Linked DNA regions of Oryzias latipes. The protein of the gene in region 2 binds, or shares a complex with, the protein of the main gene of each other region. Links are inferred from orthologs where the notes say so. Each region holds a gene or a part of one and is shown on either strand. Other genes may lie near its edges.

Region 1 (4,301 bases), on a different chromosome or scaffold from region 2:
GAGTCCCTGGTTGGCCAAAGTTGGACCCACTTTAACTTGCAACATGCGTTCAAGTTTAGCATGTCCAGCACAAAAATGGTCGTAAAGACTTGCGTAGCTACACAGAAACCCGAAACGTGCATCGACACACATTTACGTAGAGTTTTTATCGGAAGTGGCCTCTTGAATGCAAATTGCCGAGGGAGGTGTGGCGAGTGTAAAAAAGAAAAAGAAAAGGCTAAACGTGATTTCTTGAACACGCGTTTAGTCCACAATGTTCACAATGGACTAGCGAGAAGGGGCTTCTGTTGACTAGCGCCTTACCACCACCTACAGTTGAAAGAGGCTTAGCGCGAAATGACGAATTGGTCATTTAGCCCATGGTTGTAGAAATTTGCGCATCTCTATGTAAATGGGAACGTTTTAAACTTGGAAGTCCGAAATACGTGTTTATACACTTTTATTTTTTTGGATGTGGTTACTTGAATGCAAGTTCTTAAACGTGCGTCTAGCCCACGGTTTTCACAATGGACAAGCAGGGAGGGATTCTTCCTCTACTTTTTTTTGTTCACTGTTTACTAGCGCATGTGCGCCATCTACAGTTGGTAGTGGGTTAGTGCAAAATGTTGAAGTGGTGCGAATCTTGGGAATTCTTTTTTGTTTTTTTTCTAGCACAGCTCTATTCCGGTATGAAAGACTTTTCAACATGTTAATTCTTCCATGAATCAAAAGGGACGCCGTTTGTTCATCACAACCAGATCCGAGGGCCCCGATTGGTCAAAGTTTGACCCGCTTTAAGACACATTCAATGAACATTTCGTTAGTCGAGCCCAAAAATGGCCATAAAAACTTGCCTATTTATGTTTTGAACTTGGAGGCCTGTCACATGCATTTACACCTGTTTACATAGACTTTTTATTGGAAGTGGTCATATGAACGTAGACTGGTAGCTCAGAAGAATTCTACGGAGCTCCTAAAGGGACATTAAAGAAGAAAAGCATTAAGGTAAAAATAAAAAAGGTGGCAAAAAAAGCTAACTGGTTTTCTTTGATTTTTGTTCTTTTTTGTTACTTTGTTTTTTTCCCTAGTCATTAACAACAAAATTAAAATATTTAAACAAAATAAAGTAAATTTTTATGTTTTATAAATCTGTGTTTACATCGAGATAATCTCTTTTATTTGCATCATAAAGAAAAAATGAAAAATAGACCCCCCAAAATTATTATTTTTTTCCCAAACTTTTTTCTTAGTTTGGTAATAAAACCAATTAAAAAAAAAAAGAAATTGCACATTTCCAATGAAAATGAATCAGTAAAAGTCATCATGGGATTTAGATTAAATGTAATTTAAAAACGGACACAGCACTGAGAAAACTCACAAACCATGCTTCTGTTTGAAACAACATTATAATATTATTATTTATCAATTATTTACATATTTTAATGCCGTTTCTGATGTTTTAAAGCGTTTTACTAACCTTTATTTTAAAGAAAAAATATACTCATCCGCTTTCAGTCAATCACGAGTTTTCTTCCAGCCAATCAGAGACCGGAGATTCAGCCCATGCCGGAAGTAGTCATCTCGTGTGTCGCAAAAGTCGCGGGAAGATTCCGGGGGGCTACTGTTTGGTGTTTTCTGGAGCCGCGTGAGTGTAAACAACTTTTGTTTACTAAATGCAACTTTTTGTGCTCAACTTCTCAACATTTCGTGATCACGTGGGGGTGTTTTTTTCTTCAACGTGATGTTTCTTTTAGGTTCATCTCCAGCAGGATCACCGAATAGCCGAACTTCCGTTTTAAATGTGGTTACATTAAAATAATGTTTTCCCACGACGTATTTCTTACGTCTAGAAACGGAATGCGCTGTTTATATTTGATAAATAAAACTTTATTTACAATTCGGCTGACATTATAACCTCAGCAAATTCACTTAAAGGCTTCATTTTGACGGTTTAACATGTTCAAAGCCCAATCATTGGAATCAAATCAAACTTTATTTATAAAGCCCTTTTCATACAACAGCAACGCAACATGTTTTACAGTATCTACCCGGCACTAGGAACATCGGACTTCCTGTTTACATTTCTTTAAATATAGAAATTCCTTTTTTTGGGCGGGGTTTATATGTCTACAAACACAAAAGACTTCATTCTTGATACATAAAACTTTATTTACAATTCGGCTTCCAATGTGACGTCAGGTGGGATACTTAAAGGGATCATTTTAACGTTTTAACTTGTTTACTTCAAAGTCTGATCATTTGATTTAAATCAAACTTTATTAACAAAGCACTTTTTTCTCGTCAGGCCATCATGAGTAAGAGGAAAGGGAAAATCTCCCATCAGCCCCTGGGAGAATGCATCACACAGGCTTGTATCCCTTCCTTAAACCTTGAGTTTGCGTGGTAGTGACTTGGAACTTAATGAATTTGTTTGTGTTTTTATGAATTTCTAGGTTCAACGGATCTTGAGGGAGCGATACTGCCAGCAAAAACTAGCCAAAGGACTCGATGGAGTTGGAGCTCAACACAAGTGGGTTTTTATTTTTATTTTAGCTATGTGTCTGATTAAAGCAAAGACGACCCGCAGCTCTGTGACCCAGTTCAGGCTGACGGCGCCGACCTAGTTTGGTGCCCCACCCCCCATCGTTTGTCAAAGCTCACTTGAAGCTCCGCCCATACAGGCACCTGGAGGAGCTGCTGAGGCGCACCGCTGTCTACGGGGAGAGCAACTCGGTGCTGATCGTCGGGCCGAGGGGAGCGGGGAAAAGCTCGGTGAGGAGGCGGCGAGGGAGGGGTGCTGAGGGTGGGCAGTGCTGGTTGTCTGACGGCGTCTGCGTTTGCGCAGCTGCTGAGGAGCGTTCTGCAGGAGCTGCTGGAGGAGAAGGAGGTGCAGGAAAACCTTCTGCAGGTCCACCTTAACGGTAATTGCGACTTTGTGTCCTCCAAATCTGCCTGCTCCTCTAGTAATTTAGTAATTTTCTTTGTTTTTGTTTTTTGTTCCAGGCCTCCTACAGACCGACGACAGAATTGCACTTAAAGAAATAACCAGGCAGCTCCACCTGGAGAACGTCGTTGGAGAGAAAGTTTTCGTATGTTTTTCTTTTTAGTTTGGCGGCCATTTTTGCCTTAAATCGGATCCAAAAATGTTTTCTTTTTTTTTCCCCGTTTCAGGGAAGCTTCGCTGAGAATTTGGCTTTCCTGCTGGAAGCTCTGAAGAAAGGTTGGACGGGTTAAATTTAAGTGGATGACGGTGAAATCCGGTCCTCTCCAGCACTCTGGTTGTGTTTGTGGTTCCGTCAGGTGATCGCACCAGCAGCCGCCCCGTGTTGTTCGTCCTGGACGAGTTCGACCTGTTCGCCCACCACAAGAACCAAACGCTGCTCTACAACCTGTTTGACGTGTCGCAGTCCACCCAGGCGCCCGTCGCCGTGGTGGGACTCACCTGCAGGCTGGTGGGTCTCTTTTTTTTTACTTTTTCGTCAGGGAAGAGTAGCACCCCTTTGACGTCTTCCTGTCTTCTCAGGATGTCCTGGAGCTGCTAGAGAAGCGGGTGAAGTCCAGGTTTTCTCACCGACAGATCCACCTGCTGAGCGGCTTGACGTTCAGTCAGTACCTGGACCGAGTCCGGGCCCAGCTCAGCCTCTCCGATGATTTCTGCGACAGCAGGTTCGCTCAGGAGTGGAACGCCAGTGTAAAGGTAAACCAAGTGAAATGTTTCACTAGGTGATCAAGAATCTAACAATGTGTCATTTGATATTGTGTAGCAGGCAACAATAGTCGTTGCTATGGAAACTTTTCACACATATTTTAGGATAGAGATATGAAACGTGTCGTACTTGTTTATCAGCCCAAAACATGAAAGAAAGAAAAAATCTATGGTTGCTATGGACTTGATTCCTCTAGGGAGCCTGTGGAAACATGATCTGGTAAAATTCACTGATTTAGTTTGTTTTTTTGTCTTGCTTAATTTTGAGTGAGGATAAGTGTTCAAGACATTTGGCAGAAAAACTTAATTGCACCAAAGACCTCTGGTCGGTGCAACTATTTTTGATCTTTAGTTATGCGATCAATGTAAATCGGCTGATTTTGACTCAGGGGAAAAAGTTGCATATTGGTGCAAACATCATTTGCAAAGCTGCTTTTTCTCCGCATCACAATCCGTTTCCCAATTCCGTTAATTATGTGTTAATTGTGCTATTTTCATGTCACCGGCGACAGCTCCCACGTTAAAGGGTTCATGCTCGTGTCGAGCTGAATGCAACATTGTCTGACAAGCTTAAGTATTGGTTGCTATGGAAAGCATTGATATTTATTTAAGGATA
Region 2 (4,163 bases):
ATAATAATTTGAAAAAAGTAAATTTTAGGCAGTGAAACAAAATATCCTAATAAAACAACCAAATAATGATTGATACAGGAAGAAAATGAGTATCCAAAAATAACTTTTAAATTCTTTAATGTTTCTGCGTGTGTGGTGCTTTATATGTTTATGAAATGTTAAGGTGTCAATAGGTACGGTTTTCATCAATATCAAAAGGCACTCAGAAAATGCAGGAAACTGATAGGAAGAGGTCAAACAGACCCAAACTCACAACAATTTAATTGTGGCCATTAAAGGGGGTTTCCACTTACACAGTGAAAAATAGACTTGGAGGTATGAGATTGACAAAACAAGTTGCAGCAAGAAAGGCATTACGGAAACATCACAACAAAGCAAAAAGTCCTCACTGATTCAGGAAACACTGGACTACTGAAGACTGGAAGAAGCCTTCATAAATCGATAATCAAAAGTAAAAAATCTTTATTTCAAATTGTTTTTATGTGTTGTCAAAATGTGAAAGAACAGCTCCACTGTGTGGGACATCAATTGTGAAACACGGAGGAGGAAGTGTGATGGTATGGAGCTGTTTTGGGGTCAGTGATATAAATAGGGCAAGAGGCACCTTAAACCAACTCAGCCACCACAAGACTGCAGCGCTTGGGTGCTGAGTTGGTTAAGAGTTTGTACTACAACAAATGAATGACCTAAAACACAAATCCAAGCTTTGCCAGAACTACCTGAAGACAAAACAAGACGGTAAACTTGAAAACACGCAGGGGTCAGTCAGCACAGTCTCCAGATTGCTAGGAAGCTGGTTTGGGAGCAAAGAAGCTTACGAGCCCCAAAGAACTTGTGAAAATATCTATGAAAGAGCGTTCCTGAGGTAAGAAAAATGGTGATTTTGATTAAACTAAAGTAAATTTTGGTCTATAAATTAGTTTTGGGATTCCTTTTTTGTAGATCCAGCTGCTATCAAGACATTACACAGAATACATTTAAATAAAAAATATAAATAAGGTGCTCTAAATTTTTAGACCAATAGTGCTGTTTATAGATCTCTACAACAATTTTAAAAATAAAGTTTTTTCAAATACATTTTAAAATTATTTTATGATAAAGTATTTATTTTACTTTGCACAAATATGTTCTAAATATATTTTCAGTTCATCTCATTATAGGTGGATTACAATATTTTTGTTTTCAAATAATTTAATCCATTATTACTTTAAAAAGAAACTTATTTGACACTTAATAAGATTTTCTTTTTCTTAAGTTAAGATAAAAAAAGAAGTTTATTTTACTAAATAAGGCACTTAGAAGTGAACGTATTCTGGTTGGGCGGGGCGTTCAATTTTACTGCCGTTTCATTGGCTAAACTGTGACGTCACTTTGGCGGGAAAACGACGATTTTAGGAAGACATGCAGCCGGCATTTCACTAAACACTAGTTTACTGAATGCCTGGATCTTTGGAGGATCGGCGGCCTCCTCGATATCTCAGAGATGTCTACGTCATCTGTGTCAAAGGTGATATTTTCTGCTGCGCGCAGATCTACTTGAAGTCGTAACGAAAATAAAACAAGATGGCTGCGATATTTTTTTCTTTACCTGCTTCTGATTGTGCTGTCCGCAGGGATGCTTTGTTTTTAAGCCCAGTCCGAAGAAGAGGAAGAAGCAGGATGTCAGTCAGGGTGAGGAGTCTCAGTCAGTGTTTTATAATGGTTCCTAAGACTCTATGCTAACTTGTCTTTTCTTTTTTTTGTCCACACAGAAAGTTATTTTATTCATGACTGCGCGGGTCCGGAAAGCGGCCAGAGGCGATTCAAGCTCTGCCAGGATCTGTGGAAGCAGATCGAAACTGAAACTGAGGTAAGAAACGCTGAAGAGAGAATATAATTACTTTAAGTTTTAGTCGAAACCAAATTAGGTATCGACTTAGGTGCCTGATCAAAATTCAGTAAAATAAACAGGATTCTAACTTCTGAAATATAGTCAAATTCAATAGGCACTTTCTTTGTGATTTTATATTAATACGTATGAATTTGACAAATGATCTGCAATTGGACTGGTAAAGTAAAAATGACTCTTATTAAGTTTTGAACTAGAATATAATAAATATTTTTTTAAAAAGTCATGTAAATCATACTAGGGGTGGGATTATATAACTTTGCTTAATCACTCTAATTTTAAAGCAAAGATTTAAACCTTTTTTTCAGACAAACTTCACACTTAATGAATTTCATGTGTCATGTATTTTATCTATAAATACCAATGTGTATATTTTTGATTTGAGTAACTATAATAACATAATTTAGAACTACTTGTATTTTTTACTTTTCCAATCAAGTCACGATTAACTATCCAAAGTTTGATATACCCACGTATAGATATGCATCTCTTTGATTTTAATAATAAATAATCAAACAAAATCCGAGGTCTAAATAATAAATAATAAACAAATAGTTAAAATAACACAGAGAGGTGTAAAAACAAGAAATGTTATAGAAAATGACCATAAATATTTTTCAGTGAGGCAAAATAGTCCATAGGACACAATATATATGGCACTTGTATACATTTACAACAGTGTAGTGATGGTAGATGAGGCGTCATGTTGTATTTTGGCACATTCCTAAACCGTATTGATAATCTGTCAATACTGTGTCATTCGATGCAGACTCATGCTGGACTGAAAACATCACTGCAGGCTACCAAGTTAAAAAAACTAAACAGATATATACATAAACTAGTGTAAAAACAATATTTGTCTTTGTAGTTCCTCATTCCCATGTCTCGCTCTATAATGTCCCAGCATGAAGGAGGTAGTTTGGCAGTTCTGCTTTAACCTCCAAAACATAAAATGATTAAATAATAATTAAAAAAAGAGTCTGTTTGAAATGGATTGGTATTCTGCTAGATTCAGCATAAACTGAGAGGAACAGGGGGACCAAAAGCTAAAAACACTAGTAAAACTATGAAGAAATTCCACCAACCAAATAAAAACACAGCATTCAACACCGTTAGGGAAGATTTGGTAAAATGAAACATAATAAACCGGGAAACTGGACACGGATCAGGTGCATGAACTTTTTTTTCTTCTTTTTTCTTTTTCCTCTGCAATTTCTAAGTCAAAACCACCCAATTGGGTGGGAAACCGCAGAATCTGGCAACACTGCTGGTAGACGCGCTTCCTTGTTTGACTCCTGTGTGACACACACACACACACACACATACACACACACACACAGTGGCTGTGTTGGTCACGTGACTTCTCCTGAAGTGATGCGCGCACCAACAGAGGGTTTCTCTTTATGAGCTCGACACGTGAGCCGGCGCGTCGGTGTTGCCGGAACCATCACTACGCTTAAAAATAAATTCAAGTGAACCTTCTGGTCTTATTCTTCCTGAGTCACTTTTCTACTCCCAGCTTCACCTGACCTAAATCCTAAAGTCAGTGGGGAGGGGCTCCAAGCCTCAGGGCAATTGGAATAATGCAACAAAATCAATGAACAACCAAATGAAAAGAAAAACACCAACAAATAAATGATTTGATAACAACAAACTAGTAAATATGAATATCTACCTGTGTAAACAGGGATCCTAAGGTGGAGCAGTGGGCTTCTCCGTCTCTTCTCCCTGGAAGGCTTGGTGGAGTGTGCATTACTCCACCTTCACATATAACCTTCAGATACGTTTTTTGATGCTTTTTTTTAAATGTCATTTTAAGGTTTTGCAGGATGAACTCCATAGGAAAATCTTGGACAGCTTACTGGAGTTCAGCAGGAAGTGTTCCTCCGCTCGTTGTCACGGCGACTGGGCATCGCAGATGAGGGCCAGTGAAATTCCCACAGCTGCCCTCATGCTGGGTATGCGGCGTACATTCTTCAGGAACCAGCTAACCCGATAAAACCCCACTATTTTTGGCGCGGTTTGACGTTTCTTTGACCTGCTCTCCAGGTGTCAACGTTCCCGATCACGACCTGACCTTCAGCAGCCTCTCGGACCTACTCAGACAGTCTGTCACTCCTTATGTGGTCTCTCTGCAGGCCAAGGAATGTGGAGGTAAGAGCTGAATACTTTCATATACTTTCTCAGTGTATACAGTGACTCACCAAACTTTCAGTTACTGGTATATGGTTTTCCTGCTTGATTTTTGTAGCACTGAAGCATTTGTTGAAGAGGG
Region 3 (4,104 bases), on a different chromosome or scaffold from region 2:
TTTATTTTCCTTATCCGACCTGGCATCTACCTTAAAACTTTACAGCTGGATAGCTCAGATATAACTCTCCATTTTTGTTGCACCTGTATTGTTAGGTAGGAGGTTTGAAGGGCTGTAAGCTAGCAAGCGAACGTGTAAACAGGTGGATGATGGGAAGTGGGGTAGGGCTTATTCCACGGCCATTGGTCCCGCCCACAACTCAAAGGCGAATTTCTAATGAACCACTGCAGCTCAGCAGAAATTATGTCCTAGAAAACAACACAGCCTTTATTTTATTTAGGCTAAAAAGGTATAGTCATAATCAGAAGATGTTTTGAAAATAGCTGAAAAGATGACCAGAGAGGGACTTTAAAGATTCTCAGACTGCTCTAATTGACTGTTTCAATAAGTTAAACCTGCTAGATTATTTTTTGCTATGCACAATTCAACCCAACAACTACAATAACATTATTAATAATATACAAACATTACACCTTGTACAAGAAGAAAACAGTAATTAATATGTTAATACACTTTATACATTTTAATACACTTTATTTAATACAATGAAATGTGATTATAATCTATCAAAAATACCAATGAAACTATCAAACTTTTACTTTTACTTAGAATTTGGGAAGACGCTTTTCACCCATAACTTCTCCCCTCACAACACTGTTTTATGGAACAACAGATTTATAGCTGTAAACAAGAAATCCTTGTTTATGTCTGAATGGTATGATTATGGTGTGTGTTTTGTTCATGACTTGATGCATACTGATGGAATGTTGTTATCATACAATGAGTTTGTAACTAAATACAAAATTAAGGATTCTAGTAACTGTTATAACAAAGTCTGTAAAGAAATTCCAATACCTTTACTTAATCTTATTCATAACATACTACAATACAATGCAATCCAACCACAATTTTCACAGCTGAAAATTAATGATATTCCCATAAAAGATAAAAAATGCAACAATAAATTAGTAACTCTAACCTTTAAACAAATCATTTTCTGCAACTTTAGTAAAAAAAAATAGATGCGACTTAGAAACCACCCTAATGGACAAATCTTTTTCTTAATACAAAAAGTTCCCACTTCCACCTAAAATGAAAGAAACACATTTAAAAATAATATTGAAAAATTTACCCTGTTGGAAATTTTTAACATAAAAGATTCAAATTTCAATGGGAACCATGGCTATTCTGTTCATCTGAAACTGAAACGTTGGAACATCTCTTTTACAGTTTCAACCAGATACAAATATTTTGGACTGATATTCACAATTTGTTGTCACTTAAAGTTTTAAATATTCCCTTTTTTTCTTTATCTGATGGTTTTTTCTATATGGAAAATCTGGACCCGGGAATTTCTGATGTCATTAATGTTGTTATTATTTTATGCAAACATTTCATTCATTTATGTAAATGGAAAAATACATGCCCTTTGTTTAGTATTTTTTGAATTATTGTTCTGATTATTATGAGTGTCTTAAATGCATTCCAAAACAAAAACAAGAAAACTTCAGTAATTTCTCAAAATATATCAAAAGTATTGTTATTTTGGGGCGACAGTGGCTCAGGTGGTTGGGCGGGTCGTCCAATGATCAAAGGGTTGGCGGTTCGATCCCCGCTCCCACCAGCCAAAAATGTTGTTGTGTCCTTGGGCAAGACACTTCACCCTCCTTGCCTCCAGTGTGGCTCCACTGGTGTGTGAATGCACATGAATGATCCTGGTGATGGTCAGAGGGGTGCGAAATGGCAGCCACGCCTCTGTCAGTCTGCCCCAGGGCAGCTGTGGCTGCAACTGTAGCTTACCATCATCAAGTATGAATGAGGAGTGAATGAATAATGGACATAATGTAAGCGCCCTTGGGTGTCTTGAAAAGCGCAGATAAATCCAATCCATTATTATTGCCTTTTTTTAAATTTTGTTTTGTTTTTTCTATATGCACATTTATAACGATTGTTCACCCTAACTTGGTTTGTATATGAGCATTTATAAAAAAGAAAAAAGAGGCACACGTTATTAATAATATTAGTATTATTGTTTATTTTTTGGTCTTATGTGTGTGTTTGATATTAACAATTGTTGCTTTATTGTGCAAATTGTGTGAATTTCTGTAAATTGAAAAAAAAATGTACAATAAAGTTTATTGGAAAAAATAGAGAGCGAGAGTCTGTATCCATTCCTGTGTATGTCAACATCTGCATGTAAAGAGCTGTGATGTACCTTTAGTTCTTCATGGCAGGAGTAGGGTTAACTTGTTTATTGAAGTTGTAAATAAGCAAAAAATGACTAAATGACAGAGTTGTTGTCGCCTCACCTGTTGCATTATCTGCTCCCAAAGCCTGGATATAATTCTGCTCGTCAAAGACCTCATCTTCCTCCTGTTCTTCCTCCTCCAGGCACCCCCGACGTCCAGCGGGGCTCTTAAACGTCACCATCCTCTGCACAGACTTTCCGCCGCCCAGCACGCCTGCGCAGACCAAACACAGGGAGTTTAAGATCACCGCGTCTGCGCAGATTTGTTGAAAGACTTAAAAGCTTTTACCGTCATGTTTCTCCACGATGTGCTCCAGAACATCCTCATCCCCGACAAACTTCACCTCCATCGCGCTCGGTCCTCTAATGGCAAACACAACACACTGCGTGGTTGGACGCCGAGAAGACCGATACATACAGGTTGACCAAAAATATAAAACTTTATGAAAAAACACACTGACAGCGTGGGAAAAGCTCGTAAAAACTAAGCACCTTGCAGAGAAACGTTAGCAAACTGAACTAAATACCACGGTGAGCTGACAACTTCCCGCGCCATCCTTCTGAAGGTTTAAACCACGTGACAGGCGAAAGGTCGTGTACTGACCAATCACAGCCCACACACTTAAAAAATCATTACCCAGAATGCACTTCAAAGTCTAACTTTTGTAAAGGTTTCCGATATAATTTTTTTCACTTATTTTTTTTTTAACAACATACAAAAGAAATGTGTGAGTGGCCGTTGTAAAGATAGAAATAAAGCAAAAAGAAGGAACTAAAGTTTATAAGAAAATGTGCCTTTTTAAACACACGTTTATTTCAGACTCAGATGTGGTCCATAGAAAAAGATACAAATACAGTATACATAATAAAAAGTAAAAATATATAAATTAAAAAGAGTATAATCGCTGTATCCAGTGTTTCCTCAGGGCAGAAGTGTAGCTGCATGAGCTTCTTTTGGGATCAGTCAGAGACATGATAATTGAGTTCTTAGATTTGTCTAGGCGTTCCATAAGGCCGTATGTAAGCTTACGCAGTAGTGCTTCACTGGTGGGGATGTGAGCATCCACAAATAGCTGACTGGCTCTGTACCACCTTGGCACCTGTAGCAGAAGCCTAAAAGCATCATTATAGGCCACTAAGAATTTGCGGTATGTCCCACGTCCATAGTTCCACCAAAGAGGGGCCGTATACAGAGGAGTGCAGTAAGCTCTGAACAGCGAACATTTCACTTGAAGAGAACACGTACTGAATTTTCTCATCAGCATGTTTGCCTGAGCATAGAGTTTACAGTACTGTCTCTGAATGTCTCTATCATCCCTCCAATCATCAGTAATGAAATGTCCAAGGTATTTGATAGATGAGGTTTGTTCCAGAGGCGTTCCACAAAGCTTAAAAACAGGAAAGTTTACATTTCTGTCGTCTTTGGTCCTTACAATCATTACTTTGCTTTTAGAGGGATTGTAGTTTATATCAAAATCTCTGCCATAGTCAGAACAAACTTTTAAAAGTGTTTGTAACCCAGCACTGTAGGGGCTAAAAATGACAAGGTCATCAGCATACATAAGATGATTAAAGGTCTGACATCCAACAACACACCCAGTTTTGCACAGATTCAGAAATTACTTTAGTCGAAATTGCCTTTTTTGTTTTAATTTGTTTGAGGATTTTACCAAAAAGTGTTTTAAATAAATTTTTAATTTGACTATGACCTTTTTTGAATATGAAAATTCTCCAAAAACCAAATCAATTGTTTTATAAAAAAACAATGTTCCAGTCAACGTTGATCATAACAACCCATAATGATGTCCTTTTCTGAAAGTTTTAATGTTTTTCCAGTTTTATATGACTGAATTTTA
Region 4 (4,119 bases), on a different chromosome or scaffold from region 2:
GAGGATGCACAAAAAAAAAAAACATCACATGGCACAAAAATCCCAGCTGCTACTTTTTAAAAACCCAACAACATACTGCCCAAACAAAGACAACACTTTAGAGGGTGGATTTTATCTTTTGCAGATTAAATGTAAATGATAAATAATCCTTTGGTTTTAGCAAAAACACATCTTTTTCACGTTTTACTTTTGTAACCCACAAATGTAATTGACATCACCAGAATCCACTTATTTACTTGAAAAAAGCGCAATGTTTAATTAACTAAACACTCTTTCAGTGTTTATTGAAAGAAACCCCGTGTTCTCTTGTTGTTGTCATTCCTTCATTATCCTTTCAACTTCGAAAAAGATGAAACCCTAAGGAGAAAAAGCTTTCAGAATCCATCTTTTCTTTGACGCTGTCAAAAGACAACACTGAGAAACCACATCTAAACCAAAACAACCACGGATTTAACAGACATCACCTCCAGCTCCTTCATCAGAACATTTATTACATGGCTTTTTCCTGAAGCCCGATGACCGTAGATGAAGATTGAGGGGTAGCAGTACTGGTGTGGCTGTCAAGAGAAAAATAACACGAATGTTACTGTCAATAATATTAGATCATTGCACCAGTACTAGGTAAAAACAACATAATACATTGAAAAATGCTCTAAATACTATATTAGTCATCACCTAAATGCCCAAGAATAAAAGGGTTACTTTATTTTATTTGAAGCGCTTATCAAGACGCTCAAGATGATTGTAAGGCAGCTTAAAATAGTATAAAAACAAGATCATTACATACAAAATATACATATTTGAGTAACACTTAGAGAAATATCATATTTCAGTACAGTGTCCATTATTTAATGAAATTATTAGCCTAATGTGACTCCATATTTTTAAAGTCCATCTCACCTGTTTCACCAAATTTCCCTTTTTATTTTTAGTTCTTGTATTTATTTTAAATACCCGTATTTTCCGGACTATAAGTCGCACTTTTTTTCATAGTTTGGCAAGGGGTGCGACTTATACTCCGCAGCGACTTATATTAGAAATAAATTGAAATAAATACATTGTTAACCCTCCTGTTATGTTCATTTGTGAGGAACAGAGATGATGTTCCTGGGTCAATTTGATGTATGAGGTAAGTGTTAAGTGTAAGTGTTAAGTGTTAAGAGTATGTTCAGTGACTCAGAGAATCAGCAAACTTTTTTTTACAGTTAGATCTTGAAGGCTAACAACATAATATTCTATTTTCCAAAGATTTCATAGATTCAGAAATGCAATAAAAGTGAAAACTGTTTCTACAAATACAGGATGAAAACAGAGTATTAGTTAGCCAATGATGCTTCATGAAAGGAATAAATAAATAAGTTTGAGAAAAAATTACTGTGAAATTATTAGATAAACAGTCTGCTATGATTGTGTCATATAAGGTTGTGAAAGTTAAAATGCGACTTATAGTCCAGTGCGACTTATCTGTGTTTTTTTCTACTTTATAATGCATTTTTGGGCTGGTGCGACTTATACTCCGGAAAATACGGTAGTCTGTAATTGTGCAAGGTGTGTCTCTATATTTTAAGTAAGAATTTAAAAATAGCAAGAACAATACGACTACGTTTCTGTCCAAAGTCTCTTTAATCTATCTCGTCTCACAAAGACTAAATTCCTATTCATGAACACACTTTTAAATAATAATAATAATAATAATAAAAATTACAACCTACTATATTCATCTTTTGATTTATTTACAAAGTGTTCCCAGTGGTCTTTTAATTATGATGATGCCCTTTTTTAGCTAAAATCAAAAACCCTCTGACATTTTCTAAGACATAGTTTCTGCAGAGCGGCAGTAATTCATTATAAATTCACGTCTGATTGTGGGAAAGACTGTTGGCACAGAGTAACCCTGCCCACAGCTCTGTTTACACTCTCCCACTATCTTTCTCAAACACCCAAACTAACATTACTGGTGCAACAAAAAGGGTGAGCAATATTGGAGCTATATCCAGCCGTACATTTGGGCGCCAGACACTAGTTTGGGCGAAGAAAACAAAGACATACATGGATCTATTTGTTTACAAGTGCATCAGAATGGAGCTGAGCAGGGAGCTTGTGTGTTTTCTACATCACAAATATACGATCTTTTTCAAACAGAGCCTTTTCGTCTGGTCCTGGATCACAATTTTAATAAAGAAATACTTTTAGAACATTGGAAAAATGCCACAAGTACATGTTACAAACAATTTTTAATGAATCAGAGTGGGTATTAAAGCAACTCCGACTGGTGTTTTAACACGAGAATGAGAATTTATGAAAAACTTTATTATTATTATTTTATAAATACATTGACTAATAATTACACTGTTTTGCTTTGGGAATTTTGTTATCAGGTGGACCTTCCTTGAGTTAACGGCCCCATACCTCTCCCATAAGGGACAGCAACATCCCAGCCTGAACTTCTCTGCAGGGCAGCTGCTCTGCGGCTCTCTTCAGCCTCTCCTCGTCGTATCCAGGATGCTCTAACAGTCCCGCCATTCTGCTTTTCTTGGTTCTAACTTTATAGTTGAAGCCACGAGGAGCTAAACTAATAAACAAACCAAAACATTAGCTTAACTTTCACGAAAATAAAGATGACGGTCGCCAGCGTTAGCGGCAAAAAAGTGAACTTGACGTCGTTAAGTCGAAGAAAGCGCGTGATACAAAACTTTAAAACACTCCTCAAAAACTACGTTTTTATCGAGGAAAAACGAGCAAATGTACTTGAAACCGGCTGCGATCACTTTGCGCGCCGTTGGATTACGTCATAAACTCCGCCTCCGTATGATCCAATCAGAAAAGTATTGTGGAACTCTGGGTAATGTAGTAAAAATCCGAAACATAAAATAAAAAACAACTTTAGACATCTTTTAAATCAAAAAGTATTTTAAAAAAAGAAACGAAATAAATAATTATACTTTATTTCATATATATCTCATAATTATGATGTGTAATTTTAAAAACGTTGGAGAGTATGCATCTAGTATGAGCTGTTAAGAATGATTTTTTTTTTATTAAAACGAGTAATTATACATATTTTGGCTAATCTGTATTGTAAATAACCTTCCTGATTTACCCATTACCCAATAAAACTTATTTTATTGTCTCTAACCTTTCACCTTTTTAGGATTATTTGTGTGTTTGTTTTAAGAAATATGATAATTAAATTTAACCAAACTAAACTAATTAGGAATACCTAACATTTATATTTTGAAAATAGACTACAATTCAGAAATTTTGTAAACGAACCTATTTAAAATTGTATATGTAGGAAGAGCGCATCCTTGTTTTTTTATGAACTTGTATTTATGCTGATCGTATCAGTCATGCGCACTGGATTGACGAGCAGAAAAATCAAAAGCATTTAGTCTTCGCATTTGCTTTCATATCAATGTGTCTGTTCGGGATTTACGCGCGTTACCGGAATAATGCGTCAGAATGGGATTAAGGGATGTGAGTTGCCTGTGTAATATCCGCAACTATCTTCCGACTCTAATTCAATAGGATCTCATCCGCGGCTGCTGCTCCGTCGAGAGCACACAGACCATTTCAGCCACATCTCAGCCACTCGTGGCAGCTGGAGCGGTGTTATCGTCTCAGGCAGAAACACCAGGAGGAGACATCAGGGGAGCGGGCAGAGGAAGCCTTCTGCAGAGAGGATTTCTCAAGCATTTCAATAGATTGTCTTTCTTTTTCTCCCGTAGATTGATGAAGGAGGAAAGCGCAAAGAGGGCTCAAGTCAAGGATGCGAGCGCGCATTGAAGACGCGTAAAGCATCCACGTAAAACAGGAAAATTAGCTAGTTCTGATGAAGATTACTACCTGACGAGGAAGAGGTTTGTTTACTGAGTGCAAATCTTAAGTCTCTTACCTCACATACACCGGAGGATGGTCCCCGGGGCCCCCAGCGCGACCACCACCATGCTTCCCGCCTCGGAGGCTGCCAAGATCTACCAAACCAACTACGTGCGTAATTCCCGGGCCATCGGCGTCCTCTGGGCGATATTCACCATCCTCTTCGCCATCGTCAACGTGGTGTGCTTCATCCAGCCGTACTGGATCGGGGACGGCGCAGACACGCCTCAGGCGGGCTAC

What was found. Proteins that work in one complex are often made in the same cells at the same time.
Region 1: the proteins of orc3 (region 2) and orc4 are in contact, whole or in part, in a cryo-EM structure (PDB 7JPO), measured with the Homo sapiens proteins. The link is inferred for Oryzias latipes from reciprocal best matches to the Homo sapiens genes ORC3 and ORC4. Residues at the interface, in NP_036513.2 of Homo sapiens: Thr227, His260, Arg261, Leu262, Leu263, Pro264, His265, Ala266, Ser269; in NP_001177808.1 of Homo sapiens: Pro370, Lys374, Glu377, Gln381, Ser392, Gly393, Asn394, Ser395, Gln396, Arg397.
Region 3: the proteins of orc3 (region 2) and orc2 are in contact, whole or in part, in a cryo-EM structure (PDB 7JPO), measured with the Homo sapiens proteins. The link is inferred for Oryzias latipes from reciprocal best matches to the Homo sapiens genes ORC3 and ORC2. Residues at the interface, in NP_036513.2 of Homo sapiens: Thr3, Ser4, Ser5, Met6, Ser7, Lys8, Gly9, Cys10, Phe11, Val12, Phe13, Lys14, Pro15, Arg20, Ile22, Ile26, Tyr29, Phe30, Lys32, Tyr47, Val111, Thr112, Lys139, Asp318, Lys326, Gln329, Leu330, Leu333, Tyr337, Glu589; in NP_006181.1 of Homo sapiens: Leu239, Glu242, Tyr243, Ala246, His247, Asp268, Arg273, Leu276, Val279, Ser280, Phe283, Glu286, Leu287, Leu290, Lys296, Leu297, His299, Lys300, Met302, Leu303, Gln304, His306, Leu307, Phe309, Tyr314, Gly315, Leu316, Arg320, Glu324, Arg327.
Region 4: the proteins of orc3 (region 2) and orc5 are in contact, whole or in part, in a cryo-EM structure (PDB 7JPO), measured with the Homo sapiens proteins. The link is inferred for Oryzias latipes from reciprocal best matches to the Homo sapiens genes ORC3 and ORC5. Residues at the interface, in NP_036513.2 of Homo sapiens: Glu99, Val109, Met144, Lys145, Leu148, His178, Ser180, Met181, Asp182, Glu223, Asp232, Ile235, Ile236, Gln239, His240, Ala253, Thr254, Ser255, Pro256, Ile257, Ile258, Ile259, Arg261, His265, Ser269, Cys272, Ile273, Glu274, Leu275, Ser280; in NP_002544.1 of Homo sapiens: Asn62, Val64, Glu65, Phe67, Thr68, Arg70, Leu71, Gln75, Tyr129, Leu270, Arg271, Ser274, Ser275, Ser276, Gln277, Leu294, His297, Thr298, His299, Val300, Glu301, Leu302, Pro303, Tyr304, Tyr305, Ser306, Asp360, Tyr367, Arg373, Pro376.

Annotation. Positions count from the first base shown.
Region 1 is NC_019860.2:3,473,669-3,477,969, reverse strand, and holds the start of orc4 (origin recognition complex subunit 4), read left to right. Parts: upstream 1-1,496; 5' UTR 1,497-1,624; exon of another isoform or gene 1,625-1,630; intron 1,631-1,714; exon of another isoform or gene 1,715-1,733; intron 1,734-2,284; 5' UTR 2,285-2,290; coding exon 2,291-2,347; intron 2,348-2,432; coding exon 2,433-2,509; intron 2,510-2,660; coding exon 2,661-2,751; intron 2,752-2,824; coding exon 2,825-2,900; intron 2,901-2,982; coding exon 2,983-3,068; intron 3,069-3,150; coding exon 3,151-3,199; intron 3,200-3,279; coding exon 3,280-3,431; intron 3,432-3,502; coding exon 3,503-3,676; intron 3,677-4,301. UniProt on the Homo sapiens protein: Component of the origin recognition complex (ORC) that binds origins of replication. DNA-binding is ATP-dependent. The specific DNA sequences that define origins of replication have not been identified yet.
Region 2 is NC_019880.2:10,107,399-10,111,561, reverse strand, and holds the start of orc3 (origin recognition complex subunit 3), read left to right. Parts: upstream 1-1,360; 5' UTR 1,361-1,483; coding exon 1,484-1,507; intron 1,508-1,613; coding exon 1,614-1,671; intron 1,672-1,751; coding exon 1,752-1,849; intron 1,850-3,707; coding exon 3,708-3,846; intron 3,847-3,937; coding exon 3,938-4,042; intron 4,043-4,139; coding exon 4,140-4,163. UniProt on the Homo sapiens protein: Component of the origin recognition complex (ORC) that binds origins of replication. DNA-binding is ATP-dependent. The specific DNA sequences that define origins of replication have not been identified yet.
Region 3 is NC_019875.2:17,274,116-17,278,219, forward strand, and holds the start of orc2 (origin recognition complex subunit 2), read right to left. Parts: upstream 2,806-4,104; 5' UTR 2,665-2,805; coding exon 2,538-2,664; intron 2,463-2,537; coding exon 2,310-2,462; intron 1-2,309. UniProt on the Homo sapiens protein: Component of the origin recognition complex (ORC) that binds origins of replication. DNA-binding is ATP-dependent. The specific DNA sequences that define origins of replication have not been identified yet.
Region 4 is NC_019881.2:17,806,395-17,810,513, forward strand, and holds the start of orc5 (origin recognition complex subunit 5), read right to left. Parts: upstream 2,806-4,119; 5' UTR 2,524-2,805; coding exon 2,410-2,523; intron 558-2,409; coding exon 465-557; intron 1-464. Other genes in the region: LHFPL tetraspan subfamily member 3 protein, read left to right, coding at 3,913-4,119. UniProt on the Homo sapiens protein: Component of the origin recognition complex (ORC) that binds origins of replication. DNA-binding is ATP-dependent. The specific DNA sequences that define origins of replication have not been identified yet.